2 linked regions of the Caenorhabditis elegans genome follow. The protein of the gene in region 1 purifies or fractionates together with the protein of each later gene. This does not show direct contact. Each region holds a gene or a part of one and is shown on either strand. Other genes may lie near its edges. The genes, in order: atad-3 and cri-3.

Region 1 (17,245 bases):
AACAGTTGAACTGAATGAACATTGGCTGATTATTTCCGGTATATTCCTCGTAAATCTCTCCTAGCGTTGCACTATCCGCTCTAGTTCTGCTCTCCGTATCGGAATAATCGCTACTTGGCGGGGATCCTGGTCTAGGATCGTCTGAGCTGGAAGACGATCCGGTTGATGAAGATTCATCCGAATCGGAATCCTCAGAGCTGGCAGAAGAACTGTTGTCAGTTATTGTTTTCTCCTCATCGTCCAGAAATTCACCACTATGTTCACCTTCTAACGATCTTTCGTCTCCAGCTTCCGATAGAGATGTAATTGATTCTGTACCATCTACATACATCATTCCACTATTTCCTCGAGTTCGGCTCGACCTTCCTTGTTTTTTCTTGGATTTCTTTGTCTTCTGCTCAATCATAGATTCGGGATTCAGGTAGAATATGTTTTGTGTTCCTTCGACTTTTTTGAAATTCTTTGAGAGCATTTTACTGAACATGTACGCAATATTGGAACCTTCACAGCAAATTGTATCCTTCGGTGGTGGATGTTCTCCTCCAAGATGTTGACACACTTTTCTCAAGGCAGTTGGAATTTCCGACATTTCGAATTCCAAACAATCAACCTCTCCGGACATATCCATTAAACTTTCTTCATTGAGTGGAATTTCTTCACGTGCAGCTTCATACATTGCTCTCATTCGAATACGTGGAAGAATCTCCTCTTCAAAATGTCGGCAGAATGATGGAAACGTCGTTGCTTCCTCTGGAAATACATTTCGATTGTTCGGAGTCCATCCAAATCTTGCTCCAGAATCCCATCGCTCGGGTACATCTGACATCGGAACATTGACGATTCCATTCCCATCGAACGCATTTTGAGCGTAACAATGAGCAATTTGAGTTTCATGAATAGTCATAAGGAACATTGGAATTATTTCAGATTTGACATCAAACGCATCAGTGACTGGTGCAAACATCAACGCAGCCATTCGAGCAGTTAAAGCTTTCACGTAGACTCTTAGCTTTGTTTGAGGAGGCCTTTCCTTCTCAGGCACTGTTTTCACCAGATCTGCCCAAATAATATCATGTTCCGTGTCATCAATAATCCATGTAAGATCTGCAATCCTGCTGAGTTGCCAATGAAGTGCATTTAATTGACGTTTGTTGCAAAGTGGAATGTCCGAATCATTTCGTCCCAGAACAAAATGTGGAAGTGGTAGATATTTCCTTTGAGCATGATATACTAAGTTGGTCATATTGAACAAATTGTCGTAGACTGTCACAAACTTCGAAACTGCTTCTGCGTGAATATCGGTTACTGTAGGCACTGGAGAAATTGTTGTGTTGACTGTTTCTTCAGTAATATATGGATATGGCTCATCGAGTTCACCAAGAACCTCGTCATCACCTTCTATCCTTTTTCGAATATATCGAATCGGAAAAATTCCAGGAGTTGGTTCCTTCGGAACATCCATCCATCTTCTCTGTTCCTGTACCCATTCCTTCTCCAGATCATCATCATTTTTGAGCTTCTCAGTTCTTCGTTTGCTCTTCGGGCGAAGTTTTTTATAGGTCAACATGTCATTATCGGAAGGTGGTGTTTTCTTCGGTAAACCCGTCAATTCATAGATATCAGTACATCTACAGCTATCCTCATATGGAAACATTCTTCCAGGAGTTCCTGGTTGACAGAGACCTTTGGAATTATCATCACTCGGGAATACTTCATTACATTGTCCACTGTGACGGAGGATTTTGTCGAGAGTGAAGAGGACTGAGATGAATCGAAGATCTTCGTTGAGTCGTTGTTCCTGAAAATTGTTTGTACACAAATTTTGAATTATTGGGAAAATTATAGAAAAAAAAACGTAAATTTTTTGCTTTTGGGTGTTAAAAAATCCAACAAATAAAAATTATAATTGAAATTTTTTGGGGCAAAAAAAATTGGTATTTCCAGAACTTTTATAGCATTCGGAAAACCTGAAAATTTCGATTTTTAAATTTTCAGATTCTAAAGAGGAATTGTTCGGATAGTTAATACACTAATTTTATCATCTAAAGGTCACTAACCGCACTCATATTCGCCAGTTGATCATCTGGATTTCCTCCTTCAGGCTCATTCCACATCTCACAAACAATTGCAAGAGTCTCAACAGCGGATCTCGATGGTATCGCATTTTTGGAAATCTCATCATCATCATCTTCGAATTTATCCTTTTTGACGATTTCATGTTTTGATTTTCTTCTCAGAATCGGATTATTCATAATATTAGGTTGAATCGTAATCGCTGGAAACATGATAAACTGCTCCAGTGATGCTCCGGATGAATCATAAATTTGTCGGAGCAACGAGACAGCATTATTCTGAGTCCACGCCGGTCGGAATCCCTCCTGATGCATTCTCTTGTGCATGAGCACATTTTGACAGAAATCTGCGAGAAGTCGAACAATGAATGCACCGCCTGGTTGAAAGGTGTTGAGAAGAATGACACTACGACGACACGCCAGACTTTTTGCAAGTGTATTATGAAGTGTTAACAGCATAATTTCATCAGGATCATCGGTTTTTTCTTCGGCTCGAACGATTGTTGTGAGATCAGCGGGCACGTGAGTGTAACGGACAACCATTCGTTCCAGAGGACGCCTGAAAATTTTTTGAATTAAACATTTAAGTTATTAAAGACGGAATATGGACCAGGTGGGCGGCAGACGATTTTTTTCCGGCAAAAAATCGGCAAATTTCCGATTTGCCAGAAAAACGGCAACTGGCGAAAATTTTCGGCAAATTGTGGTTTTGCACATTTTTTTTGGAAATTTCAATTTTAATCAGCAAAATTGTTCGCATCCTATCGGCAAATGGCAAGAATTGAAATTTCCGGCAAATCGGTAAATCGGCAATTTGCCAAAAATCAAAATTTCCGGCAAACCGGCAATTTGTCGATAATCAAATTTCCGGCAAATCGGCAAACCGACAATTTGCCGAAAATAAAAATTTCCGGCAAATTAGCAATCGAAAAATTTCCGAAAATTAACATTTCCAGCAAATCCGCAAAACGGCAAATTGCCGGAATTGAAAATTTCTGGCAATTTGCTGATTTGCCGAATTTGTCGACAAAAAATTTGTTTTTTTTTTAAATTTTAATTTTTCGAAAAAAAAATCGCTAAAAAATTAACTTTTTTAATCCTAAAATCTCACCGAAACACTGTACATGCTGGATCTGACTTTTTGTCAAAAATCTTGGTTGGGTCCATATAAAACTTTGCAGCATTCGCTTCATATCGATATCTTCTCGCTTCTTTTTTTAAATCAGCCTCATCAAGAATAGTTCCATAAGTAACATTTATCAATCGTTGTCTCTGTGCTTCAACAGCACGTCTTCTCTCTATTGAAGTGACTCCACCGAGAAATGCTGTCTTGATAATTGCCACAGGACCATTACAAATCACTTTTCGAATGAAGAAATACGATGGTTTTTTGGAATTTTGTGTAGCGTAGACCAGTGTAACATATGTTTGATTTTCAACAAGACAGAATGTTGCACGCACTTTAATTGAATAAAGAACAGCATTCAGTGGATAACGACAGTCAAATTTCAGAATTCTTTCGGTTGTAAACATTTCAAATGGAACGTGGATCAGGTTGAGCAGACTTCTTTCCGTTTGAGTGTGCACCCATTTCTGCCAATTGCTATCGTCAACTTCGAGCATTTTCTTCCAAAAATTGACGAATCCGCGAGTTTTAACACCGTCTGGTTTGCTGAAAACATGATAATTTTAGAAGATTTATAAGAATTTAGAATTTTTGTTTTCAATTTATTTTTCTAAAAATGTAATGCTGGAATTTTTTGCTGGAATTTTTCCAAGAAAATTGAAAAAAAAATCGGTATTGTCAAAAAAAAACTAAAAATCTTGACTTAATTTTTGTTCGAAATTTTGAATTTTTTTGTATTTTGCAACAAAAAAAAACTACATTTCGATTTTTTAACCGGTTTTCAGAAAGTTTCAGAAAATAAAAAACCAGAGAAAAATGTTCGGTTTTATTTCTAAAAAAATCGGTTTTTCGGCTTTTTGTTGTTAAAAATAATAAAAAGTTATGTTTTAAGATTTTTTGGTATTTTTCAAAAAAAAAAGTGTTTTCAGAGAAAAAAGTATTATTTTAAGAATCAGAAAAAAAAGGTTTTCAGGTTTTTGTTTTTGAAAATTCGATGTTTTGTATTTTTCAGGAATAAAACTGAAAATTATGATTTTTATGGTGTTTTTCAGAAGTTAAATACATTTTTTAATAGAAAAAAACGGAAAATTAACGATTTTCAAAAATACTTACACTATACAAAGTTGCGGCAAAATTTGTCGTGAACGATCTCCTTGTTGAAATAAAGCATACTCCTTGGTGACACCGGGTGGTATAGTGAAATATGCGATTTTTGTATCAAATGAATGAATATGCAGAAGAAGACGATCCGCGTCGATGATTCCATCAATTACAGATTTTATAAGATTCATTCGGATTGGATTGAGATAATTGCTTTCTGTTAGAAGATCTTTCAACTCATTATATGGTCCTTCTAGTACCAACTCCACATTCACTGCTTGATGTACATTCTTGTTGACTGGCCATGCCGAAGTAATGATGTAATCAATGAATACAAGTGGTCGAAAAGCGAGTCGGAGGGTCAGGATTACTTGGGTATTGTTCTTCACGAATACAGCTAAAATTATGGAAAATTTTAGTATAAATTTTAATTTTTTTGAAACGTTTTTTTTTAAATTTGATTTTCGGCAAATTGACGGTTTGCCGGAAATTTTGATTTTTGGAAAATTGGCGGTTTGCCGATTTGGCGGAAATTTGGATTTTCAGCAAATTGCCGATTTGCCGACCATCAATTTGCGGAAGTTTTTGGAGGGATTCTTTTATAAGACGGATACACTTAAACCTGTGCCTTTTTGGAAATTTTTTTTTCAAGAGAAATAACATTCCAAAAAGATGTGCAAAACCACAAATTGCCGGAAATCTCAATTCCGACAATTTGCCGATTTGCGGAAGTTTTCACCCCTGTTTTGAAATATAAATATATTCACAAAAATAAATAACTTACTAGATTTCAATGTGAATCCTTCTCTCAATCTCACATACATCATACGATTCAATGTCGCCTGATAGTCTGCAACAAATCTTCGATGTCGGTCCACATGACTCTGTTGGAGCTCCAAAAAATCGCTGTTAATCTGTGCAAACGTATCCAATAAATAATCATTGTCATTCAAACCATTTTGAAATGACCAACAAATTAATGCTCGATGAAATTGATTAATATTCTCTTTGCTCTCATCAATTATATCATCATGTTCAACAGTTCGTTTTATCACTAATTGACCCTCTTGTGTTCTACTCAGAATTAATGGATCTTTTGGTGGTTGTGGCATTTGACGTGGAAGATATGTTCCAAATGTTGCCATTGTCATGAAATAAAAGAGAGATGATGATCCAACATGTCCGAATACAGGTTCTGTACAAGCTTTCTTTTGTAATTGAATGAACGAAAATGCAACTGTGTAACTGCGGAGTTGGGTGAGAACATTTTGCAAAGCTTCTTCGTCAGGCATACCGCAGACTGAATCAGAGATTATCACCAGATCTGAAATTAAGTTTTCGTTGTATAATGAAAAAAAAGCTCAAATTTTCAATTTTACAATTTTTAGAATAAATTTTCAGTCAAATTTTTTAAAGTTCAATTTTTTTAAATATGGAAAGACACTTTTTTTTTCTTTGGAATATCGGAAAATCGAAACAACTATATTTTTACCCATTTTTGTGATTTGATTTTTTTCTCGATTTTCAAAAATTGGAAAATCTTCAAAAGAAAAGTCCAAATTTTTGTAAAATCGAAATTTTTAAAAAGTTTTTCCGCTGTTCGAAAAATCGCAATTTTTCTTCGGAATATCGGTAATTCAAAAAAAAAAAAAGAATCATAAAATATGATTTTTTAATTCTAATTTTGTTCATAATTTGAGAAAAAACCAAAATTTGAAGCTAATTTTTGAAAAATCGAAAATATTTTTTTAAAAACCTTTCTTTTGTGAAATTGAATTTTTTTTTCGTTTTTCCACTTATCTGTAAAATCTGTTTTTTTTTCAGAATATCAGAAAATCGAAAAAACTTTTTTTTTTCAATTTCTGGGAAATCTAATTTTTTTTGTTCCCAGCCCTGTGACTTGATAACTCACTAGATTGAGTATTTTCGGGGAGCATCTGAATCTGTAAAAGACCCATTCGAAGCATAAATATCAGCGACCAATCCGGTGCAACATAACTCTTATCACTTGCAAATGACAATTGTTTCTGATCTTCATGACGTTCAGTTGCAGACCATATTCCACGTTGTATTGACATAAGATTCCCACCATCCATTGCTCTGTCTGCATCTCCATCATTTTTGTGTGAAGTCGATGCTGCGGAAGATTCAGATAAGTGAATATTTTCCGCTGATGGTACTTTTCGACTGCAATCTTCACTCTGCGAGTCACTCTCACAAAGTGAATCGAATTTATTGTGCTTGTGACGACGTTTCAGTTTTCCCCACATTTCGAGAATCGGACGGGAGAAGGTGAACAGTCGTTTGTAGATGTCGACGAACTTTATCTCAACCGATTCAATTACCATATCAACATTTGATTCAGTGACGAAGACTCCTTGGCATAACGTCTGAAATAATTTATGAATTCGGATGCAAGCGGAAAAAAGAACGTACAAAAGTCTCCTCAAACTTCATAAAAGGTGTGAACAAGCAGATGGACGTGTGAACTTGAGGACGAAAAATTCGATTCGTTCCGGGTATGACAAATGATTTTACTGATGATCGTAGAGCATTTCGAAGGCTTGGGATGATTCGATCAACGAGGCAACAGTTGGATTCATCGTCCTGAAAAATTACGTGATTTCGCACAATTGCTCTGGGCTGGGACTTGTTAGGTTTTTCATTTGTTTTTTTTTTTGGTATTTTGACGAAACATTGATTTTTTGGTTTTTGGGACCAAAAAACCAAGGCTCATTTTGTAGAATTTTCAGATGAACAATGCAGCGCAGCCGTGCCAAAACCAACTCACCGCCATAACAACGGATGGACTGAGATCAAGAACAAAAACAATTCGATAATATCTGGATATATATGTGCATTTCGTTCTGACAGTCACAATGAATTGCTCGTCTCCAACGACTTCTGTACCATCTCCTCCGGCTGGTACAATCCCGATGACTGTCATCTCTTGCCTGTACTCATCTTTTGGATCTTTTGATGGTTTATATGATGAGCATTGTGGAACTTCTTCGATTGATACGGCCTTTCCGAGATGATCAATGTACCAATGTGCACGAAGATTGCGGGATGCACGGAAGATTCTGAAATTATTGTTTTTCAGGATTTCTGATATTGAAAATTGTGGTTTCTAGCTTTTTATTGTTGCTTTTCTGGAAATATTAGGCTAAAAGCTCATAAACGTTTAATTTCAATTGATTTCTTATTTTCTGAAAAAACCATATATTGCCAGCTTTTTCCTTCTTACCTGTGCATAAACAGAAAGACCTCTCCGGCCTCCCGCAAGTTTTTTGTTTCAGTATCCATTTGATCGTTTTAATCGAACATTTGGGCTGAAAATTATTTTTTTTGCTTTTTCTCTTCAGAAGCTTTCAAAATATGAAAAATTGAAGTGCAACAAAAGCGATTATTAGTTAGTATTACATTAAAATGAAGAGTTTCTTTATTAACAAAAAAAAAACAATAATCTTTCACTCTACTTAAATTACTACACAAAAACTAAATAAAAATGACTGACCTAGAAAATAAGGGGAAAACGAAAAAAAACAATAGAAAAACAAGGGCCTAATTGAATTATCTAAAAAAATTATATTATCAGCAAAATTTCTGATTAAGAATGAAATTACGAAATTACCGGAAGTTTGAAGATTTCAGAAAAGAAAAAACAACAAAAAAACGTAAATAGAAAACAATAGAGTATCATGAACAAGGAAATGAATATTTTGAAATTAAACAGCAGTTTCTCTCTTCAACGTAGTTCCGAACTTGACTTCTTGGTTACGAGCTTTCAATTGCTCCTTCTCAAGCCATTCCATCTTATGTTCATGTTGAACCATTGCGTCAGCAGTATTACGATCAACGATAGCCTCGGTGAGCACTCCGGTTTCAGATGCATATGCAGAAGCTTGCCATCCGATGACAAGTTTACTCAATTCTCTTCCACTCATTCCAGATGTCTTTTTGGCAACTTCATTACACTTAGCAACCCAATCAAAGTTATCGAGTTTCAGTCGTTGAGAACGAGATCCACTAGTTGCTGGAGTGACGATGTGCTCGTTGAAGTATTGCAGAAGAATTCGTTCACGTTCTTCCATTCCTGGCAGTGTGAATTCGACAAGCTGATCGAAACTGAAAAGAATAATAAATTCTGTTTTTTATTTAAAAAAAAGGATTACCGATCGTTAACTGCCCAATCGAACTGCTCTGGCTGATTAGAAGCCACGACAAGCATGAACTTTCTCGACTGCTCTCCAGTTCTGAAGAGGAAAGCGTTGAGAGCTGCACGTGTGTCTTCAGACATTCCATTCTTTGATCTCTTTTGCAAAAAAGCGTCAGCTTCGTCAATAAAAACAATCAACCCTTTGCGACTTTTTGAAGCCCAGTCGAATACTTTATGAATTGCAGATACTCCATCACGTCCAAGTGGAGCAATATCTCCTCCAGTGAGAACTGCGTAATCGAGTCCGGAATGTTGAGCCAAACTCTTTGCGAAAAGTGTCTTTCCGGTTCCTGGTGGTCCGTAGAACATTACATTACGGAAAAGTCCATTATTTCTCTTTGTGTTTGAGGTGGTAATGGCAATATCACGAAGACGACGTTCCAAAGCAGGTGGTAATACAACTCCATTCAGTGGATCCTTCTTCTGACGAGTCATCATTTGAACACTTTTAATTGGGTGTTTGAGTACTTCAAGTGGAGTGATTCTGGATGTTTCTCTTACAAGACTTGGTTTTCCGAGACGAGATTCGATGTATCTTGCGGTGACTCCAGTTCCTCGTTTAGCGGTATACCAGCCGACAGCCAAAGCAGTCAATCCTCCTACTGCAGCAGCGATTTTCGTTTTATCATTCAAAAATTGATTGAGTCCAGAACCGATAAGTTCTCCACTGGTTTTAATTTTTTCAATGACAGTTTTTCGGTTCTCTTCTTCGTGAAGCTTCATTTGCTCTAAGTTTACATCTCTGTTATCTCGAGCAGCCTTTGCCCTGGCTCTGGTCTCTGCGTCAATTTTCTCGAGCTCGTATTTGTGTTTTAATGCTAACTCATGCTCAATAGTTTGCTTGCGAAGTTGTTCCTGCTTCTTGACAGACTCTTCTTGTTTTCGGAGGCTTTCTTCCTGCATTCTAGCTTTCATGGCAAGCTCCTCTTCGGCTCTCTTTCTGGCCAATTGATCTTGATATTCAGCACGCTGAAATTATTTAGTTGTTATGTATTCAGATGTTTGGAAAAATTACCGAATGCGCATGTTTAGTCTCTTCTCCCAAAGTCTTCCTCCGTTCTTCTTCAGCAACACGAATGTGCTCTGATTTCATATTGGCCAATTGAGCTTCGATCTTCTTGGTCTCGTTCTCGACCTCTTTTTGGCGTGTAACTTCTTGCATTCTCGACAATTCAAGAGCTTCTTTGGCATTTGGAAATTTCTCTAGATCACGAGCAGCCTTGGCGGCACGCTCCAAAGCTGTTGAGTCGAAGGAATATGCCATTTTGCTGTTTCCCTCTTGCCGTTGGCCTTGACCTGGTTGTTGTGGACCGCCAGGAGCAGCACCTGCTTGAAAATCATCCGGAATCTGCGGAGTAGCGTTTTTTTGAACACCAAATAACCAAGACATCTGAAAGAATAGATTGAAGCTTGGGATGGTGCAAAAATATTCTAAGGAATATTGATTAAAGGAAATGATTTATATATGTACTTATGCCAAAGTATGAAACAATAATTTCTTTAAAGGAATGAAATTCGGAGAGACTTTGTGTAATCCTTGAAGAAAACGTAGTATTAAAACAGAGTTGCAACCTTTTCAGTAAAATTAGATGATGCAAAACAGATTTTCCGGCTCATTTTCCCTGAATTTAAAGGACCTGCCGTCAAAAAAGACCTGCCGTCGTTATAATTCACGAATTTCTATTTTTTGAAACACATTCTGCATTGAAAAATAAACTTTAAAAAATTAAATTAAGATTGTTGGAAAAAAACAGAAATCGCTAAGGCAGATTATGCTCCAATGACATTTTCTGACGCATTTCTCGATATCGTAAAGTGCGCCAGCGTTCAAAGGCCACATCTGAGGCCCCACGAAAAGGGGAGCAGAACGAAAAGGGGATCTGCAAAAAGGGGATCTGCGAAAAGGGGAGATACGGAAAGGGGAGATACGAAAAGGGGAGCAACGAAAAGGGGATCTGGCACTGTGCCAAACGCTATTTTTCTCGAAGAAAACGATACAACGATTGTCGCGAATACGCAGAATACTGATGTTCCGCCGATCACGACTGAGAAATGATATTAATACCCAGGAAATGCGTCAAGGAAATATTAAAGAATTATTATGATTATTACGAAGTCTTTCCGTATTCTAAATGCTCACGACAATCCACCGAAGTCATCAACAACGACAAAGCCGGGAAACTCCTGTTTGAAAGCCGCGCCAAAAGACACACACGTCACGAGTGTTACAGTACTACCACACATGCACATCAAACCCCAACACGTCGACACCGCGCAAGGAAATCGTCACTTCTTCGTTTTACTCCCGGACCGGCAGGTCGCATGTTAAATATGAGCTTTCTCATTTTTATCATTCAACGGATTTATCAGTAATAAATTATATAATTCTACCACTTTTGAACCTATACCGATCCGAAACATGGTGCATCGGCTCCGATGTTACGCGTCGCGTGTTGTTAAGCGTATCTTCTAGAAGAAAACTTCAAAAATCAACGTGCGTTGCGTGAGAAAAATTGCGTTTTGTGCGTTTGGCACAGTGCCAGCTCCCCTTTTCGTATCTCCCCTTTTCGTATCTCCCCTTTTTGCAGATCCCCTTTTCGTTCTGCTCCCCTTTTCGTGGGGCCTCCCACACCTTTGTTTTTCTTTTCGAACAGTCACATTTTTCCTTTTTTTTTTTGTTTAAAACTTTCTTTCTTTCATTAAAAAAACAATTATGCAAATTGTGAATTAAGCTGTTTTCAGGGTAATATCATACCAAACTTAATGAACAATGTTTCGAGCGTATGGAAATAATGGATTGAAAAATCCAGAAAGTAAGTTTTTTCTACGAATTCATCTCATTTTTATAAATGCAAAATTCATTTTTCCAGGAATTTCTGGTGAGAATCCAGATCTTTATACGCAAACAAGGGCTGCTGTTCAACAACGAGCGGTGAGAAATATTTAGTTTTTTTTTTCATCTTTCATGCGATTTATTTCAGACTACCACTCTAAAAAGAAACGAAAAACAGAAACTCGCCGTGCAGAATGACTCTGTTTTTCAGCAAGTTGGAATTGGAGAATCTGATAGTGATGACGATAATGGTGGTGTTCGGGTGAGGCCAGTGACATTTAAACTTTAAACTTATTTTTGCTTTCAGATTAGAATGAGCCCCCACAGGTACATTGATCCAGATGATGTTTTCACTCTCCCAGAGGTGAAAAAGCAAAATGCCTTGTGCGTAAATAATTTTTCTAGTTTGAAAATAATATAAAATTTCAGGAGAGACGCGAAAATTGCGGCCCGAGCAGCTCAGGCAACTGCTTACAATACATTTCCGTCCGTTAAAAGCTTAAATGGTTGCCAAGATCCACCAGAAACAAGTCAACAATCCACAAGTCGTAAACGTTCAGCAAGCAACAGCAGGAGTCCATCGAGATCTCACAGTCGCCGATACGATCGGGATAATGGCAGGCAACGCAGCAGGAGTCGTGAAAAGAAGAGAAGAAAGAAGGAACGCAGACGAAAAAGATCCAGTAGCCGAAGCTCTAGTTCATCTCGTTCTCGGGATAGGTCATCTCGTGCTCGGGATACGTCATCTCACACTTTAATGAAAATGAACAAACCTGCAAAATATGCATTTCTCACCGATGAAGAATATCGCACGTGCGATGCGTACATTTCATCTGCGTTTAGTAAGTTTTTTCATCGAAAAAAGTGATCATATCACAATAAAGTTAATGCTTATTTACGATTCAAAGTTAAAATATATTTAGAAATTAAATATTCATATTATCGCCAGCCGGCAAATACTGCGCAATTTTCAAATTATTGTTAATTTAAAAAGTTCCAACGAGAAAAAATTACAGTTACTCAAACTAAAAGTGATTGTGAAAACTATACGCAAGGAGTTCCGAAGAAAGAAATTGCCAAGTGTCGATTGAGTGTCAAGTTTATTGTCGGTTTGGAGCATAACAATATTCTGTTCAACGTATGTTTTGGCACTTATTTTTTAATCTTTTCAAAAAACCAGTTTTCAGAATATTTATGGAGCGGAATATGCCAGAGACAAGGAAAACCGCCCATTCTGGGAGCAGCTGGATAGATACTTGAAGGATGTTCCGAAAGAGACATTCTTTCGATATGTGCCTCCAGTCGGCGGTTACTGGAAGATTCGTGACAGAGTTGATTTATTAAATCTTGATGTGAGTTATTTTGAATATATCGGAAACCGAAAACCAAGATTTCAGCACATTGACGATGATGTTCTAGCAAACGATTCGGATAATCGAAAAGATGCGTTCACATTTGAGCTCGAACAGGCGAAGAAAACATTTTCCGAAAATGTTCATAACATTGATGCTCTAATCAAAGTAATTTCAATGGAAGAAGAAATGTGTCGTCGGAATGTTGGAAGTTTCTCCAGTTCAAATCCAGCAGCTCTTGCCGAACGTCACCAGGAAATGGTGAAAAAAGCCATTAAAGCCGACGGTAGAAATGCAAAACTTCGATTGATGAAAATTGAATTACTCATCAAAATGGATCCCAACTCTCCTACTATTATTGATGACTTCAAAAATCTTACCATCACATTTCCACATGAACCAATGGTATGGATCAAGTATTTGGACTATATACAATATGATAGCAATGTGTACAATTACAAAAAATTGAAGAATGCATTCGAAGATTGTATCCGACAAGTGACTGGATTGACAAATGGAACACTTCTTTCACATTTGAATGCTGTTAACGATAGACCATTGCTTAGAATGTTCCATTTATGGATTTATATTCGTTATTTGAAGTGGATGATTTCCTGTGCACACACGCCAGTGGTACTGGCAAACATACAGGTGAGATTTTAGGAAATACTAAGAAACCTTTGGTTTTGTGAGTATTAAATCACTTTTTTTTTCAAGATTTTACTTATTTCAGGCCACTTTTGAATACAATTTTGGACTCGCTGATGTTGAAAAGCGGACGAGCACTAATTCAAAAGAACGGGAAGTCAGATTGGAGGAATTCTGGGAATCTGGTCTTCCGCGAATCGGCGACGAAGGTGCTGTTGGTGCAGAGAAGATGCTTAAACAATCGGAAGAATTATCTGATGAAGATATTCAGAAATTGGAAAATGATGATTTTGATATTCTTATTTCACGCACCGAGGAAACAATAGCGACGTGTCTTCAAGCTCAACGGGACGTGCAGATTTCGTGGATCGAAGTTGAACGAGAAATGATGAACATCGATGCTCGCGTGAAACGGACGAAACTGAAAGATTGTGAACTTTATGAAGATCATGTGGACGACTTAGAGACATGTGAACTCTGGGACATCATTCCTTTTGATAGAATTCGATATTATGAAGCACCAGGCGATTGTGCTAATTTCGATTTTGTACAACCTTTTTTGGAGTTGCTCGGCGTCAAATTTTTAAATTCGGTAAGCAAATTTCAACTAATATTATGCTTGAAATTAATTTTGAGGAATTGTAAAAATACTTTTTTTTTCCAGACGAACTGCTTCACAACAACCGAACAAATCATTTCTGATTGGATTTCTAATGATTCTACTGTTAACTTCTACAAAACTCCGACTTATACCGAGAAAAAGTGCTTTGAAGTTGGAAATAATATTCTGAAGTTTATGCTTTACAATCGACTCAAACTGACCGAAAACAATCCTGAATACTTGGATAAGACTATGGTGAAGTACTTGCTGGCAATGCTCGTCACCGAAGCTTCGGAACAGGAGAAGAAATTGAATTTCCACAGTTTTAAACTGAATCTTAAAAACTTGGTTGGAACATTCATCACTAAACATCCAGACATTTTCAAGCGTGCCATGCTGAGTAAGATCACAGGAATTGTCTACATGGAAAAGTTTGTGTCTTGGTGGGAGCGTGCACTGAAAGAACAGGAAAAAGTAGTGGAAGCTGACGAGAGAAGGAAGAATTATAAAGAGATCAAGATGGAGGAAGGCGTCGTAGATGATGTTAAATTCGATGTCATATTGTTAAAGAAAGACAAAGAACGAGTGCAAACAATTCGTGATAAGATTAGGGATATGATTGATATAGCTATCCCCAAATCAACAGAAAAGCTCATTCAGAGCGCTGATTCTTCATTGCCAACGCTTCAATTACATCTTTATGCCAATGTTCTACGTGGAAGACTTTCTATTCTAAATCAAAATGCTTTAGAAGAGACTCGAGATGTTTTCTGTAAAGAGATTCTTGGAATTCACACTTCGGAATTTGAAAGTGATGAAGCTCTCTTATTGGCATTGGATCAAGGATTGAACGAATTGCTGGAGCATTGCAAGGAGAAGGACAATCTTGAATCGGTCGACAGTATACCAGAATTACCAAGAGCTGAGGCACTGTGCGAAGCTTTGAAAGTTGTGGCGGTATTTGTTTTCTGTGAGTTTTATAGTCTTTGAGTCTTTGTAAAAATTAATTGATTATTTTATTAAATTTCAGTGGACAAGATGGCATTCAGCAGGCGTGCAGTCGACTGCCTCATTGCCAACGCGATCACCAAATTCGAGCAATTTGAAGCCAAGAAAAATGATTTCAATCGTGGAACTTATGAAAAATACTGTGATCAGATCGATTTGAAATTCATCACGGACACTCTCATAACCTTCTTTTCGCACAAAAAACACCGTTTCATCTACAATGAAAACTTCAAAAAGTTGATCTTCCAAGCATCGCAAGCGTTCCCATGTGATTCGAAATATGCGAAGATGCTCGGCGAGCTGCATTCCAGCGGTCGTCTGCAAGTGATGAAGCTTCAAGGATTCACCGACAGCAGAAATAGTATTTTGAATGCGAAACGAGATCAGCAATTTGATCCAGAACTTGAAACTCGTCTTCTCATGAACTCGTTGACTATTATGTTCTCTTGGATGAATGCAGCCAACCGGATTGGAGACGCCGGAAATCAAATCCTCTATAAAAATTGGAAACGAGAAGCAGCTAATACACGTGATCCGGCTATCTGGAGACAAGTTATAAGAGTTGCCAGTAAATTGTCACAGAAGATTCTAAAGGACGATGTGAGTTTTCAGGAAAAAAGGTTGTATGTGAAATTTAAATTTCTTACAGGCTTACACTCGTGCAAGAGGTCAATGTACATGGGCTCTCAATTTGCACTTTGATTATATTGAAGCAAAAACTGTCCGCAAGAATGGAGATCTAATGGAGATGATGTAAGTTCAATTATTGAGAGCAAAGTTTCAGTTCAAAAATGTAATTTGTTGTGCCCGATTTTTGAAAATAATCAACTAAGATTGATTTTATTACAATGTTCAAATTATCGAAGTATAATTAATTTAAATCGTATTATTTTTTTTCGATTTCTAGTCTAGTCTATATACAACAATACAATACAAAGCGAATAAATTTTATTAAAACGCTATGCAATTATAATCAGCACACATGCCAATGCATTCTAAATAACACTATTTACAGCTACCTCATTCTCGAACAAAGCATGGGACAAGAGCATAGTTTATTTGTGACCGACGAGGAATACATGAAAACACAGCAGGAAATTGGACTACAGTATTCCGAATCCGGACGTTGATTCTCTCTTTTTTGTGTAACTCGGCCTATAACTTTTTTAAAAATCCATTCCATATAATTATCCACCGGTATTCATTTCATCCCAGGAATCTTTCTTTCTTTTGTTCTTTCTATCCGACAGATTATGTTTATTTTTGTATTATAATTCTTCTGTCTTTTCGCATTTTTTGTTTCGGTAAAAATTTTTTGTTTTCAACAATGAAAATATTCGTTTTAATGTCATATTTCTTTCATCATGAAAGAGGTTACACTTCCTCCAACCAGTTCCTTCCATGCATGAATAATTGTATTAAATATGTATTGCAATGTATGTGCACAGATGTTGAGGGCACTCCGCGGAGCAGCGGACCTACTATCGACGGCTCTTTACAAGAATGAAATGATGATGAGTAGAAGGTGAGTATAGATTTCTCTAATTATTATTTAAACTATGCGAAAATCCTGCTTTTGGCGAAAAATTTTGATGTTTTGCTTTTTTTACACTCGAGAATATTTTAAACTTTCAATTTATAAAATTTGTTTAAGCGAAAATTTTTCGTTGAAAAAAGTGAACCTGCCACAAAATGGAAACGTTTTTAAAAAATTAATTTTTAGAATTTCCCTTTTTTTTCCGAAAACTTACACTTGAAATTAGAAGTAAAATGCAATTATTATTAAAATATTCGAAAATTCTCAACAAAAAAAAACGTTTGAGGCCTGCGAAATTACTCGTATTTTTGACGAAAAGTTCAATTTTTGCTTTTTTATTCGAAAAAAAAACTAAATGGAAAACTTTTTTTTTGGTTTTCAAATTTCAAAATTTGTTATTCGAACTCAATCCTTTTCTCGCGCTGAGAAAACAGGAATTATCGTCTTATGGCTTAATTTAAATGTCCAACAATTTCCAGATATTTATCAACTCCAGCTCCTGAACCTGCAAAACCATCATCTGAAGAGACTACGGAATCCACGGAACCGGCAACATCTGTAGAAGATGCTGGAGAACCTATGAAAGAGAAACGAATCACTCAACCATATTCTAGCGAGGCGCTTACAAAATTGAAACTTGATCAGTATCCATTGTAGGTTTTTGGTTTTTTTTGTATATTTTTGAAATTATTGCCTGCCGCTTTTTTATTCTCAAAGTGAGAAAGAATTGCACATAAACTATACACTT
Region 2 (15,995 bases), on another chromosome or scaffold:
TGAACGTCCAGATTCAATAGATCTTCCGATGTTATCCAGTCGGCATGTTGCAAGTAGATGTGATCCATTGTAAGAACCTGAAAATTAGAAAAATTTAAATGCGGGAGAGCGTATTTGCATTTTATTTTTCAAAATCTTGAAAATGTCTATTATATCTCGTAAACCATGCCCACAAAATGGTACCTGCTCAAATCTCCGTGCACAAAGTTTAATATCAAATTCTCCATTGGTTTTTTGAACCATTTTGGGCTCCAAAACATCCGCTCCAATATGAATATTCTTGATTTCCAAGTTATCACAAATCCAATCAAAACTCTGTGCAAAGTTCAACGTATTCCTCTCAACTCCGTAGTTGGTTTGAAAAATCGATAGGCGTTCGACTTTTTTGAATGCCACAAAATTTTCACAGATGGCTCTCGAATCCTCAATCACTCCCAAATCAATCGATAAATACGTGATTATTGAATTGGAACATTTGAAGATGGATATCATATATCGAATCACAACTAGCATCGCATTTTCCAGATCGTAGTGTTCAGTGTAGAATGCGGTGCCCGAAGTTTTGCTGAAATTTTGAGAAATTTTATAACTTTGTCCAGAGTAGAGATATCAAGTTATTATCAACTGACAAATTAATAGTCTTGATGAGATCTGCATTTTGTCTTTTGATAACTATTTCGTAACTCCACTACAAACATAGTTAAAGCAACCGACACCTCACAGGAGATAATTGAAATTTAAGGCCTGTGAGATGTCGGCCGCTATAACTTTGTCCAGAGTGGAGATATCAGGTTACGTCAATTGACAAAATGCTAACCTTATTTCGGTGCGTATTTTGTTTATTGCCACCTTTTGTCGAACTCCACTCTTCATAGAGTTACAGTGGCCGATACCTCATGAGTTGACTAGGCAACTGAGGCCTGTGAGATGTCGGCCGCTATAACTTTGTCCAGAGTAGAGATATCAGGTTAGTATCAACTGACAAATTGATAGTCTTGATGAGATCTGCATTTTGTTTCTTGACAACTTTTGTCTAACTCCACTCCAAACAAGATTAAAGCAACCGACACCTCACAGGGGATTTTTGAAAATTGAGACCAGTGAGATGTCGGCTGCTATAACTTTGTCCAGAGTCGAGATTTCATAATAGTGTCAATTGACAAAATTATAACCTTATTTAGGTGTGCATTTTGACTCTCGACACATTTTGCCTAACTCCAGTCTGACCAGAGTTTGAGCGCCCGACACCTCATGGGTTGACAATTAGTACTCACCACTGAAATTTAAAATGCCCAATCTTATAAACCCCGACATCAGTGTATTCCAGACCATCAGGAATTCCAAAAACCCATTCCAGTTGACTACTCTCTCCAATCAATTTAATCTTCGGGTATTGAGAGTCAAAATTGACAAAAATTGATTTAACAGGAATACTCGCAATTCCAAGAGAACGTTTGATTTGATTAGAGGAAAATGATAACTGGAATCTGCAAATTTTCGGGGGGTTTTTCGGGTTTTTTTTTCTGAAAATTTCTTACATTTCTTTCAAGGTCAAGTGTTTATAGATCTCATTCAGGCAGACATATCCCAGATGGTGAAATGGGAACTCGTCTCCCATAGTATCTGAAATAAACATTTGGCTTGATCTCCAGGAATCGCAGGATTTTGGAAAAAATACATGACGTCACGTCATCGCAAATCTGCCGCGAGTTTTGTAGATCATACTTCATATGGAATATATGATTTTCCATTTTTCAAAAAATTTTGAAATCCCGGAAAAATAGTGACATAGACGTGAATAAAGAGATGGCGTGGCAATACTAGGAAATCGATTAAAACTGCACGTATTATATTTGTTTTTTTTCTCTTTTTCTCTTCAGCTCTCAGCATCTCTCTCTCTATCGCTATACGTATCACTATGGTAACAAAGAGGCTTTTCCTATTTTCTTTCTTGCTATTTTCTTAACTTTCGCTTAGCTTTTGGCTTTATAGTTTACAGAAAATCGATTTTTTTCAAATTTCTTGATTTTCTATGCAGAAATTGGTTTAGTAATTCGAAACCTCGTCCGATAAATGATTTATAAGTGAACGTATACTAGAAATTGTATATGTCCACGAGAAAGTGCGTTATTAAACGCGCGGGTCTTGCCACGATCGAAACTTTAGCAGCTACCGTACTCGCGCGTACGGTGGTTTTTAAATTTCATCGATTCACAACACTTTAGCAACGAAATGCCTGCGTCTTCTCTAGGCCACTTTTTTGCAATGTTTCCGCCGCCCGGTTAGCTCAGTCGGTAGAGCACCAGACTCTTAATCTGGTTGTCGCGGGTTCGAGCCCCGCATTGGGCTTATGTTTTTTATTTTTTTTAAATAAACACAACTCAACGTTTTATTCGTCCACCACCACTCCTTTACTCTAAACCCCAGCTGTCAGTTTCTACTGGAAGAGGGGTAACATGTACTTAGACTCCAACTACAAAACGTCCTGCGTCTCTCTTCTCTTTTGGTTCATTTTCTCAGCACTCTCTCATCCCAACACACCCTCTCGCACAACACGCCAGTCATTTAGAAACACGCTTTACATCAACTTCATGTACTTTTCACTTTACATCGAATTTTATGTTCTGAAAATTGATTAATTTAAACTTAAAAATTACCAGGATGGAAGCAGAGCCGTTGGAAACGGAGCAAGATGAATGGCGAAAAGAAAGAATGCGAGTTTTGGACGAGTGGTGTGAGGTACGTATTTTTAAAATTATTTTTCAAAAGTGTTTCACGTTTTTAATAGATTTTCTAAAGTTTAATTTTAATTTTTAAATTTTAAATACGAAAAATCATAGAAATTTTAATGTTTCGCTTAAAAATCGATATCAGCGAAAGCTTTTGAATATTTTTTGAGTTTTTGCGAAACAAATTTTTCCCAAAAAAATTCTAGAATTTTGTAAATAAACCAAGAAACAAATAAATCAATTTATCCTACTGTAACCTTAAAGGCGCATGCACTGAAAATGTGGATGGGTCTAACAGCGAAAAATTAATTTTTGACGAATATTGTGTATGCGCCTTTAAATTTACAGTAGGAAAATTAGAGATTAAATTTTTTGAAAGTTTAATTTCAAAAAACTAAAAAAAACTTTTAAACACTCGAATTTTCGTACTGTAAACTTAAAGGCGCATACACAGAAAATGTGGATGGGTATCACAGTGGAAAATGTATTTTATACAAACATTGTGTATGCGCCTTTAAATTTACTGTAGGAAAATTAGAAAATAAATTTTTAGAAGCCTGATGGCAGAAAAAAAGAAAAAAACTAGAATTTCCTTGAAATCTGGAGATTTTTTTGTGAAATTTAAATTTTCCAGATCGAGCTAAAAGGCGCAGACGCTCTCAAAATGGATGTAACCCGTGAGCCAGGCTCCCCCACAGTTGCCGTCGCCCCAGAAACTTCTCTTCAAGACCTCTACCCCCTTCTAATTGCCACGTCATCGTCCAACGCACCACCAAGTGCCACGCCCACCGATGACGTCACAGATCCAGAAGTACAAGTAGTTTCCCGGGAATCAATCGATAATCGATCAACATTCAATCGGATAATTGACGTTTGTCTGTGCAGGCCTGTAAAATCACAAATGGGCCCGAAAGCCTATACGGATAAAACGCTAATTTTAAAACTCGCTCAAATACCCTATGATCATGAAAACGGAACACACTGGCTTCTCCTCTCGGACTACTTTAACAATGTTTCAAGATCCCTGATGACGTCATCAGAATACTCTCACGTCACTAATCCGTCACGTGTTGGCGCGCATTGGGTTACTGTAGGCTTTCAGTCGGCGACACCGCACACGGATTTTCGAGGTTGCGGAGTTCTTGGCCTACTTCAAATGCACACTTTTACGCAGAGAGTACCGGCGAATTTACTTCGAGCAATTGTACTTCTTGCCACTACTGAACCGAATGTTAGTTTTTTATTGGGATTTTTGAAAAAAGTTGTAATAGAGCGCGCTTGCAATTTTGACAGTTTCAATTCGGAAAATTTGCAATTTTTATCAAAAATACGGTGTCCGGTCTCGAAACGACGAATTTGTGTTAAATGAGAAATGGTGTGCGCCTTTAAATAGTACTATAGTTTCAAACTTTTGTTTCAGCAGAATTTTCGCGAATTTTATGTGTTTTTATTGTTACATTTGAGTTTTTTCAATAAAGAATTTTTTATTATCGAAAAACTATTTAAAAAAACGATTAAAATTTTGCAGTAACGAAAGTTTGAAACTACAGTACTTTTTAAAGGCGGACACCCTTTCGTATTTAACAAAAAATTGTCGTGTCGAGACCAGATACCGTATTTTTGGCAAAAAAATGTTTCAATGCAATCGCGCTCCGTGCACTTTTTTAAAAAACCAATAGAAAATTTTCCAGGATTTCCCACTTGCCGTTGTTTCAATCAATATTACGAGTATTTTATTAACACAACTGAAGAAAGGAGCTCTTGATAAGTAAGTCTGCGCAAAGGGCGCTTGCTGACGCGTTTCTCGTGCCACTTGGTTTTTTTTGAAAAGAAAAAAAAACAGCACACAAGAAACATGGCATTTTCCTAAAAGTTTGAAAAAAAATTGTTTAAAAGATATTATACCAAAAATTCACAGAACTGGCAAAAACTTATTTTAATTTTTGTTTTCAGAAATTTTGAAAAAAAAACGTTTCTCCTAGAATTTTGGCAGAAAATTTTTTTTTTTCAACTAAAATTCGCATTTTTTCAAATTATTTTCCAAAAAAACACCAAAAAATTCAAATCTCGCGCCACTTGGCACATTTCTCAATAGAGCACATTTACAGCTTTGGCAACGAAATCGAAGGACTCTATCCATTCTTTTCTGCTCTCCATGCATCTGCAATGTGCCGATTTTGCTCAATTTATAAGTCACAAAAGTGTACACTTGCCAACACTCAAACTATTTTCAGTGGTTAGTAAACTTTTTTTTTTCGAAAATTGGGCAATTTTCTATGGCCAAAATCCCGGCAAATCGGCAAATTGCCGGTTTGCCGATTTGCCGGAAATTACAATCCTGAAAATGTTCAATTTTTTGCAGAAATAACCCGCCAACTCGAAAAATCTCCATTATCCCTGATAATGCTTCTAAATCCGACGAATGACGAGCTCATCAATACCCTCCTGTGATGATTGAAACTTCCCGAGAAACGAATCTGTGAAAAAATCCTTAAAGATTATAGCTTTAAATTACAATAAAAATCAACCGTTTTCGAGTTTATTTATGCACATGGTATTGGGGGAAGTGGAATACAACAATAAATAGATGGTGTGAAAAAAAGCATGAATGATAATAATTATTTGAGGCGAAAAAGAAAGCGTGTGTAAGCGAACTGAATCTTGAAAAACTCGAGAATTTTGTGTGAGTTTGCGAGCCAGTTTAAGCCTCATCCTTGTCCTTGGTTCCGTGTTTGAGCATACGAGTGAACTCCACGTAGTCGAATTGTCCGCCCTGAGAAAAAAAAAATTGAAAATTGGCTTATTTTTCAGGAAAAAATAAATATTTTAGGGTTTTAGGATTTAAAAAAAACTATTTTGCATTGGAAAATTTGGTAAAAATATGTGTTTTTTTTATAGAAAATTGTGTCGATTTACGCAGATCGTGTACTCCCCGTGGAGAAGTTTGCACTTTTTTCTGTTGAAAAAACAAGTAATTTCAACATCGATTTTTTTCCTTCAAAATCTACAATAAAAAGCGAAAATTATCGCAATTTTTTGCAAAATAAAGAAGCAAAAACTTCTTCACTAGGAGTACACGACCGGCGTAAATCGACACCAAATTTTCCGGCTGATAAATCGAAAATCTCTGAATTTTCCACGATTTTAAGAGGTCCAAAATCAAGCTTTTCGAGCCAGAAACTCCTGTTTCCCTTCTTTTTTTCGTTCCGAAGTTACAGCGATTATACCTTAATCGGAGCATCTCTAAAGAGCTCATCAACCTGTTCCTCGGAATATCTCTCGCCCATCGTGGTGAGCAACTCGCGAAGATGCTCCTCATTGAGTTTTCCCGAATTATCCTCATCGAAGCATTGGAACGCATTCCGTATGACTTCCTCCGGATCCGTTCCAGTCAATTTTTCACCGAAAAGTGTCAGGAACATTGTGAAATTGATCGGCTGTGCTCCGGGAGCCTCGTTAATCATCGAATCGATGAATTGTTCGGTGACTTCTTTTCCAAGGGAAGCGAACATATCCTTCAGATCCTCTTGATCGATGAATCCATCGCGGTTTTGGTCGATCATGTTGAATGCCTCCTGAAATTGAATTTATTTTAATTGTTCTTTAAAAATTCCGCTGAAACCAATGGATTTTTCGTCTTTTTAAATTTTTATTTTTTCGAAAAAAAAAACGAAAAATGAGGCTGTCACCTACTTTGAACTCTTGAATTTGAGCCTGATCGAACATGGCGAACACATTGGAAGTGGCTCTTTGTGGCCGTTGACGGCGGTTTACGGTTTTGCGGGAGGCCATGGCTTACTGCAAAAATTTGAAAATTTGCGATTTTTGAGGAAAAAATAAGGTCTCGACACGACAAATTTATGTTAAATACTAAAAGGTGAGCGCCTTTAAAGAGTACTGTAGTTTTACTAATTGGATTTTTTTTCTCGAAAAATCAATGAAAATTCGGGAATACAGTACTTTGAATTTAATGAAAATTTGTCGTGTCGAGACCTTTTTTTGATGCAAAAAACGTCTAGACTCCTCGAGGAAAAGAGGAAAAAAGTTTCCGTTGTTTTTTTGTGAGAATTTCAATTTTTGGCCGAAATTTTGATAATTTTTGCAAACTAATATTGTTTTTAGCATTGAAATCGCTAATTTATCGTTTATTAGCAGTATTTTTGAAACGAAAATTGATATTCTCTCAAAAAACGATGAAATATGAAGATGGTAGAAACCAAAAAAATGTGAAAAAAAACTGAAAAGATGCGGGGCGTGGAAAATATTATTTGATAACGAAAAAGCGGTGAGTCACCGCCGCAAAAAATGTTTTGTTTCAGTTTTTTTGTTTCCTATTACGATTGGAAGCGAGGTTTTCGAAGGAAATATTGATTCTCAGCGTTTGTCGCCTTGGAAAGGGGATTTGAACCGAAATATGACACATTTTTGAGGGAAATGACCGAGAAACGGAGAAAAGATTAGAATCTAATAGGCGGAGGGCATATTTAGGATGTCAAATGAGGAAAAACGGAGCGTAAATTATTTAAAATTTGCACTTTTTCGTTTTTCGGCAAAAAAAACAAGGAAAATCAGTTTAAAAGTTCCGGAATTTTTTTGCAAAACTTGGAAAAATCATCAATTATTTTCAATTAATGTTAATGTCAGGGGTGGGCGGCAAATTGGCGGAATTGAAATTTCCGGCAAATCAGCAAATTGCCTATATGGAAATTTCCCGCAAATCGGCAAATTGGCGGAATTGAAATTTCCGGCAAATCAGCAAATTGCCGGAGTTCAAAATTTCCGGAAAATCGGCAAATTGCCGGTATTAAAATTTCTGGCAAATCGGCGAACTGCCGGAAAAACGACAGGTGCCGAAAATTTTCGGCAAAATGTGGTTTTGCACCTTTTTTTGGAAATTTCAGAATTTCAATTTAAATCGGCAAAATTGTACGCACCCTATGAATGTTCCTACGTCTATTTTGAAAAATAAGCAACTTCTATGAAAATTTCTTTAAAAAGCGGGATATAAATTCCAAAAAGGCAGTTTTAAGTGGTTCCGTCTTATAAAAAGTGCCTCTACACATTTCCGGCAAATCGGCAAACCGGCAATTTGGCGATTTGCCGAACAGCACTTGCCGCCCACCCAATTCCCGGTATAAAAATGTAGATTGTTTAATATTTTCCCCCGGCCAAAATTCACATTAAATGCGACGAAATGCAATTTTTTTTTCCTCAAAACTGTAGCAGAAAATGGAGAATTCTCTCCGGAAAGCAGAAAAAACGTTATGAAGTGATTCACATGACTGGCAAACATAACATAAACGGAAAAGAGCGGAAAAACAATCGATATTCTTCGGAACGACGGGAGAAGCAGTGAAGAGAGTGAAGAGACGGAGAGAAGACAGTTCCCATTCGTTGTGTATTTATACGGAGACAGTTCCTTTCGAATGTGTGTGAAAGGACATTGGAATGAGGAGGTATATATGATGACTTGCCGATAAACAAGATATTCCGACGGAATACGGAATACGATTTAATTTCTGGGAGGTTTTGGGAACGGAATTTGGGGTCTAAACACTATGAAATACCGAAAAAATGGTTTTTTAAATTTGAAAGTACGCCAGTTTTTGCCCTAAATGACAGAAAAAATCCTCACTATACAGGACATTACTGCTGAAAAATTAATAAAGATTTCCTGAATTTTGTTTGATTTTTTAATTTTTCCAACAAAAAACCGAATAATTTTTGAATTCCCGCGCAAATAAATGTTTTCTAGATCGGTTTTTCTAGATTTTTCATTATTATTTGATTTAAAACATGATTTTTCGAATTTTAAAGAGTTTTTCCGTTTAAAAAACGCTATGACCTCGAAATAAATACACTGAAGCTTCAAAAATTCCGAAAAATGCCAGAAAACAAGTTTTCTAGACGAAAAAACTTCTGAAAAACTGAAAATTAATGAAAAATCGAGAAAAACCAACGATTTTAGCCAGAAACACGAAATTCGAAAATTCAAAAGTATAAAAATATTCCTTAAAATCGATAATCTCCTAGTTTAATCAATAATCTTCAAAAAATTCTAAACATAAATTTCGCAATGCTGCTTTTTCAAATGACTCATGACTCATCGCGCCAGCTGCGCAGCTCTATTCCATGTTTTTACAACAAAAAATCGATTTTTCTGGCAATTTTCAGTTTTATTATATAATTTTAAGCCCAATAGTCAATAATTTCAAAGAAAACGCACTTTAAAATCATTTTAAACAAGAAAAAATCGATTTAAAATGAGAAAATATGGCTGAAAAACGTTTGAACACAATTCCAAAGCGCGCCAAGTTAAAGGCGCATGCCATTTTGCGGCGAAGATATCTTGCCACGAAAGGCTCTATTTGAATTATTTTCGTCGGCTTTTCGCATATTCTCTCGCTTTTTCTTCGGTTCTGCACGCTTCCACTGATTTTTTCGAGGTTTTTCATTGAAATTATTGATTTTTGACAACTAAATTAGCCTAAAATCAATTAGAAACGCTTTATAACCTGATAATCTTGATTTTTAGCTCGATAAAAACTTGCATCATTTTTGGAAAATGTAATTTTCTATTTTTTTCTTCTTTCAGGTAAAATGAACACTGCTTCCCTTGTTCGCTCCCTGTCCCGAGTGGCTCTCCGTTCATCCCAGGTCGTCAGAATGGCCGCTCCACGCCATTTCTCACAATCGGCCAAGGTTCTGTCAGTAACGCCAGAACTTCAACAGGCCCTGAACCGTGAGATCGAAGCCGAGCAACAGCTGAGCAGCGACAATCTTCAAGGAGCCGTTGCGCCGACATTTGCTGGCTTCCAAGTCACCAATAAGGACGCCGAAGTTAGGCTGACCAAGAAGAATGGAAGCGAAGAGTTCGTTTTTTTCAGAATTTTTCATAGTTCTAAAGTTAATTTTTTTAAAGCATTCTCGTCGTCTTCAATGTGAACCACTCTGTCGATATGGACGAAGGATTCGACGATGAGCCATCCCAGGCCGTCGCTCCAGTTCCAGTAGCCATGCCACCATTCACCGTCGAGATTACCAAGGGAGATCAGAGACTTTGCTTCCATCTCGAGCTTGTGCCAGTTGACGATCAACCTGATGAGTGTAATACTCGATTTTATCGAAAACTCGAATAAAATATATACTATTTATAGATGATTTCCGCGTCGAAGAGTTCTACGTCGCCCCATCTGCCAAGAATGGAAACGAGGACGTACCATCCGAGGTGTACGCTAGCAGTGGAAAATATATCGATCCAGTTAGTAGTCCCAAGAGGACCGCAAATTATTGATTTTTTCTAATTCCAGGACCTCCACGATCTCCTGTTCGTTCGTTATTTGGAAGAACGCGGTCTCGATGCTCGGTTCTGCAAGACTCTCGTCGCCTATGCCACTCACTACGAGCACTCTCAATACGTTGGACTTCTCGACAAGATCAAGAAGTTCATCTCCAAATAGATTGCTTTCTGAAATTTTTTCAATTGTTTTGTTTTTTCTGTCTTTTATAACTTTACTGTTGACGTTTTTAGGTAATCTAAATAAGTAGCACATTTTCTTTCAGCTCGTTTATTTTCCTTAGTTTTTTGTTCTGTTTTGAGGTTTCTCTCCTCCAAAAATAATAAACCCATTGTTTTTTTCTTCTTTTGTAGTTTTCCGCATCCCAAATTTTTTGTAAATTAACTATGTCTTTGCTTTATCTAATTCCGCGTTTTTTCCTGAAAATTAAAAAATCAATAAAGCCTCATTTTCAGATTCCAAAGAAATGAGCGAGGAGAATGTTCAAGAGTTCGTTTTGAAAGAGGACTGTGAGCTGAGATTTGCCGCCGGAGACGATTCGGATGTCTGTCTGGAGCTCGTCAAGGGATACGCTGAAATTTTTGGCACAGAACTGCTGTTAAATAAGAAATATACATTTCCAGCCAGTAAGTTTTCCTCGAAATCTGGATTTTTTTTCAACTTTTCAAAAACTCCCGTTTTCTGGCTATATTTATTGCTCTTTCTCCGTTTTTTTTCTGTAATATTTCGCTTGAAACACTGTTTTCCTAATGTTTCCGCAGAAAAAGCACAAATTTCTGTGAAATTATCGACTTTTAGGTCAATTTCCAAGTTTTAGCGTGTTTCTTTGCGGTTAAAGTAGAGAAATTCGCTGAAACTTCATCTTGAAACTTGGCCTAAAAATCGATAATTTCAGATGTAATCATTTGTTTTATGCGGAAAAGTCTGGAAAACAGTGTTTTAAATCAAATATCACAGAAAAAAATTGAGAAACACCAATGGATTTGGCCATAAAAGTCAATTTCGGCCCATTTTCTGCCATTTAAAACCCAATTTTTCCTCAGAATCTCGTGTGGCGGCGTTCACGTGGAAAGGCGCCACAATTGAGCTCGTCGGCACAACCGAGAGCGCATACGTTGCCGAGAGCACTCCGATGGTCATTTATCTGAATATTCACGCAGCTATGGAAGAAGTTCGGAAGAAGAGAGAGGAACAGGCGGCTGGAAACTCGAATAAGGCAAAAGGACCGAGATTGCTGTTGGGTGAGCTGATTCTAGGCTTTTTTTGGAGATTTTTCGTCGAAAAACTGAAAATTTCTGTGGTTTCTGCAGGAAAATCGAGTAAAAATCATTTGAAATACTGGAAAAATCAATATTTTCAAGGGGCGGGGGCTATTTGCAAGCCTGGCACGGTTGTTTTGCAACCGTGCCGCACGGCCCGCCCACCTTTTTATTTTATTTTTTTTCGGAATTTAAGTAATTTATTTTTATGTTTGGCTTCGAAAAATGTAGAAAAAACCTTGTTTTCCGGTTTTTTACTGATTTTTAACCCAAAAAATAATTAATTTTCCAGTTGGACCAACGGACGTCGGAAAAACCACAGTCTCCCGTATTCTGTGCAACTATTCGGTTCGCCAAGGACGTACCCCGATATTTGTGGAGCTCGATGTCGGTCAGAACAGCGTTTCGGTGCCCGGAACAGTTGCAGCTGTTCTTGTACAAAAAACAGCCGACGTCATTGATGGATTCGAGAGAAATCAGCCGATTGTCTTTAATGTAGGCTTTAAATTTATCAAATAATTCACAATTTTTCCCAATTTTTTCCAGTTTGGGCACACTTCTCCGTCGGCAAATCTATCTCTCTACGAAGCATTGTTCAAAGAGATGGCAACTACACTAAATGCACAAATTCAGGAGAATGATGAAGCCAAAATCGGCGGAATGATCATTAACACCTGTGGATGGGTTGATGGGGAAGGGTTTGTCGTTTTTTTCGCTGAAAATCTGTTTAAAATAGCTCAATTTCAGATACAAATGCATTGTAAAAGCGGCATCGGCATTTGAAGTCGACGTGGTTATTGTGCTCGATCACGAGAGGCTCTACAGTGATTTGAGTAAAGAATTGCCGGAATTCGTCAGAGTATGTCGCGAAAATCCTTGTTTTTTGTTTGAAAGTTAATCATTCATTTACAGCTCACACATGTTCCAAAATCCGGTGGAGTTGAACAACGAACCGGGCAAATTCGTTCGAAAATGCGCGGAGAAAACGTTCATCGGGTAGGTTTTGTCCTCAAAATTCGAAAAATAAAGTTTTTCCAAAAAAATCTTTGATTTGCACTAGAGACATCGACAAAAATCAGCTTTTCAGAGCTGAAATATTCGAAAAATGAATATAAATTGAAGGGGCGGAGCTTATTTGCAAGCCTGGAACGGTTTTTCCGCAGCCCTGCCGCACGTGCTAAAAGGCTCCGCTCTATGAAATTTTTTGCAGTTTTTGAGTGATTTTGACAAGTTTTCTGTATTTTTTGTCTATTTTCTATTGGAAAACATTTGATTTAATCGGAAAAATATATATATTTGAATTTTTGAGCTGAAAAATTAATTTTCTTCACGAAAATATTGTCCCTGGGCCTTTCAGGCATTTTTTTTCTAAAAATAAAACATTTCCAAAGAATTCTGTATTTTATGGTCTAGAAATTCGAGTAAAACTGGCTTTAGAGCTTAAATATTCGAAAAATTATTATTTGAGGGGGCGGGACTTATTTGTCTGACACGGTTTTTCCGCAACCCTACCGCACTTGCGGGTTTTTTCTTTTTTTTGGTTTTTCAGTGTTTTAAAGCCTAACTTGTTAAGAAAAAACTTTTTTTTTGCAGTATTTCTACGGAACCCGTGCCAACAATCTCTACCCATTCACATTTGACGTCAGCTTCGATGACGTCACTCTTTGTAAAATCGGAGCCGAGCAACTGCCCGATTCATGTCTACCATTCGGAATGGAAGTTGAAAATCATGAGACAAAGCTGGTTATCATGGAGCCCAGTGCCGACATTAAACATCATTTGTTCGCGTTCTCGCGGAGCACGAAAGCCGACGAAAATGTGCTGAAATCGCCGGTTTTTGGATTTTGTCTTGTCACGGAGGTTGGTATTTCGTCGAGTTTTTGGGTCTCGAACGGAAATTTCAATTTTATCCAAATTTCAGGTTGATTTGGAGAAGCGAACAATGTCAATTCTCTGCCCACAGCGTACAATTCCATCGAAAGTTCTCGTCTTCTCAGATATCACCCATCTTGATGATCAAATAAAACGATAATTTATTTCTTTTTTTTCCTAATCCCTATTTATTTGTTTCCCGCCCTCAAAATAAATCTCATTCTTCAATGCATTCACAATTTATTGGATTGTCACCAGTGGGGAAAAATCGATGCCGGGACAATGTGAACAATATAGTTAAGTTTTAAAGACAAAAATTATGAATGATAGTGTGTGGGGGGTACTTATGAGAACAATGGGATTTTGAGAGAGATGGGGGGGAAATAAGGAAATTATTTTTTTAAAAACCTTACCAGACAAATATAAACTACACTTAAAGGACTATAGATGACAGCAGATGGGGATGAATAAAACTAGGTTCATAAATAAAATTGGTGGTGGGGAATACTAACACAGAGTGCTGGGTGGGGAGGAATAACAATAATAAAATAATTTAAATAATCAGCAGAGGATTACATCTTCGATTGAGCATCCTGAACAGCCGTCTTGAATGCTCCGGCGGTCGCCTCGTCCTTGAATTTGGCGGTGAAGATGGCTGGATCAGCGTTGGAGGCGTCTTCTGAGAAGTCCTGAAAAATAAGGAATTTATAGTACATTTTTATATAAAAAGAAATTAAAAATTGCTACCTGGCACATAAATGTGAGCACATTTGGCAAGTTTGGCTTCGGACTGAGCTTCATCGACTTTTCGATACGGAAATTGGCACAGAGCTTATGGACTTGCTCACGACGCATCACGATTCGATATTTGTTGTCATTGCTTTTCAGGAGCTGAAATAATAAATTATTTTTCTCAAATTTAGCCTCTATGAGTCAAAAATCAGTTGTTTTCTTAATAGTTTTCATTAAAATTTAGTGAAAAAACATAGAAAATACTTGCAAAACAGTTGAAAAGTGCGCAAAACTAGCACTTTTCTTAACTGTTTCAACTGAAATAAGTTATTTTCTACGTTTTATCACTAAATTTTAATGAAAACTATCAAAAGAACATGCCAAGCTGGCTCATTTTGATATAAAATCCTAAATCTGACCTTAATATCTCCGAGTCCACGTTCCTTATTCTCCTTGAGATCCGAATAGTACTTATAAAGCTTGCATCTGGCGGAGAACATGACCTCCTCGTCCTCTTCACCAGTTTTCACCTCAACCAAATCCGGAAGAGGAATAACTGGCTTAAACTCGACTTCTGGCTCATACTCCCCATCTCCATCCTCATTCGTCTCATCACCATCGTGTGAAGTTGCAGAAGTCGTGTTCAACGTGGTGTTCTTGCTCCCGAAAATGCTTGCCTTCTTCTGAGCAGCAAGTTCTTCTTGGGCCTTCTTGACATTTGCTGCGTCGAAAATGGAGCCAGATTTGGCAGAGTTGGCTGAAAGGGCAGCGAATGTTGCACCTCCAGACGTGAATCCACTACCGAACACGGATTTTGGCGTCTCGGACTGTTTATTTTCTTCTTGTTTAGCTGGTGCAGTCGTTGATGGAGTCTGTTGCTTTCCGAATGAGAAAGTTGGCTTTGGGAAGGCACTTTCAGAATTCTTGGCGAACATAAACGACGGAGTAGTAGTTGAAGAAGCTGTAGATTCAGTCTTGGAGAGTCCACCTCCGAACAATGAATTTCCTGGAGTCGTAGAGGTTGCCGGAGAAGCAGTTGAAGCTGCAGGATTGTTGAAATTGAACGATGGGGTAGTTGCATTGACAGCGGCAGCTGGCTTGTTGAATGAGAAAGTTGGAGTATTAGCAGCACCTCCACCGAAAACGCTTGTTCCCTTTGGTGTTCCACCACCGAAAATGCTACTGCTAGTGCTTGGAGATCCGCTGAGTGATCCACCGAACTGAGATGTTTGAGCAAGAGGTTCCTTGGCTGGAGCAGATGCTCCGAATCCGAATGTCACTTTTGGAGTTCCTGGGGCAGGCTGGAGGATCGAAGGTCTGCAAATTTAAATTTTTAATTTTAAGATAACTCAAATAGAATATTTACTTAGAGAATATATTTTTCTCTTTGACAGATCCGTCTTTCGATGTCCCACAACAGGCACATTCAATCTCGTCAGCTTTGCAAGTAACATAGCATCCAGGGCATTCCCAAGATCCTGGTTTTGGCTTGAACTGATCTCCAAATCCAGTCTCTTCCGGTTTGTTGTTTGATGGAATCACAACTTCTTGCTTGACTTCCTTCTTCACCTCAGCCGCCGGCTTGATTTCCTTGTCGATGGTCTTTCCAGCGTTGCTCGATGATTTTGCCTCAGCGACAGCCTTCTCGAACAAAGTCTTAAACTCTCCAGCGATATCGACGTTAGCGAAACGAGCGGAAAGCTTCACGTGAGCTGGCTGATCTTCGGAAAAGTCCTCGCAGAACCATGTGTAGGCCTTCTCGTTGGATTTCATTTGTTGAATGGTCATCGAGCCGAGAATTGGGAAATTGGCACAGACTTTGAGAACCTGTAATTTATTTTAATGCTAAATTAAGGTATTTAAATTTAAATTAAGATCTTTCTGTTGAGGAAAACGCCGAAAAATGTGAAAAAAGCTGTAATTGGAATAACCTGAATATTCCAACACAATTCTTCGGTTCCATTCTCAATATTTGAAGGGAGTGTCTCCTCCGAAATGGTCACCTGGTCTCGTCGCATAACAACTCTCCACGACTTCTTGTCCTTGTTGTAGAGAACCTTCAGCTCGCCGGTTCCTCGCTCCTTCCATTCCTTCGTCTCGTTGGC

The links.
Region 2: the proteins of atad-3 (region 1) and cri-3 fractionate together in Caenorhabditis elegans (co-fractionation; one large-scale study listed by BioGRID). This does not show direct contact.

The regions. Positions count from the first base shown.
Region 1 is NC_003280.10:10,241,654-10,258,898, reverse strand, and holds atad-3 (ATPase family AAA domain-containing protein 3), read right to left. Parts: upstream 9,909-17,245; coding exon 9,534-9,908; intron 9,488-9,533; coding exon 8,475-9,487; intron 8,428-8,474; coding exon 8,028-8,427; 3' UTR 7,735-8,027; downstream 1-7,734. Other genes in the region: F54B3.1 (Protein SZT2), read right to left, coding at 1-1,798, 2,058-2,631, 3,184-3,744, 4,312-4,696, 5,084-5,623, 6,212-6,689, 6,736-6,906, 7,091-7,382 and 1 more; nrde-2 (Nuclear exosome regulator NRDE2), read left to right, coding at 11,289-11,331, 11,389-11,450, 11,500-11,613, 11,659-11,735, 11,781-12,193, 12,368-12,489, 12,539-12,703, 12,749-13,354 and 5 more; mrps-14 (Small ribosomal subunit protein uS14m), read left to right, coding at 16,409-16,485, 16,977-17,150. UniProt on the Caenorhabditis elegans protein: Essential for mitochondrial network organization, mitochondrial metabolism and cell growth at organism and cellular level. Important during development for the up-regulation of mitochondrial activity during the transition to higher larval stages.
Region 2 is NC_003281.10:3,387,261-3,403,255, forward strand, and holds cri-3 (Conserved regulator of innate immunity protein 3), read left to right. Parts: upstream 1-9,324; 5' UTR 9,325-9,329; coding exon 9,330-9,601; intron 9,602-9,651; coding exon 9,652-9,836; intron 9,837-9,886; coding exon 9,887-9,990; intron 9,991-10,039; coding exon 10,040-10,189; 3' UTR 10,190-10,367; downstream 10,368-15,995. Other genes in the region: E3 ubiquitin-protein ligase hecw-1, read right to left, coding at 1-77, 184-565, 1,275-1,487, 1,539-1,618; elmd-1 (ELMO domain-containing protein C56G7.3), read left to right, coding at 2,662-2,739, 3,364-3,960, 4,421-4,497, 4,838-4,965, 5,092-5,180; mlc-4 (Myosin regulatory light chain), read right to left, coding at 5,431-5,502, 5,957-6,304, 6,423-6,521; Protein clpf-1, read left to right, coding at 10,494-10,653, 11,071-11,268, 11,579-11,781, 11,833-11,984, 12,034-12,145, 12,199-12,282, 12,880-13,146, 13,208-13,318; npp-9 (Nuclear Pore complex Protein), read right to left, coding at 13,731-13,847, 13,906-14,049, 14,310-15,207, 15,257-15,717, 15,822-15,995.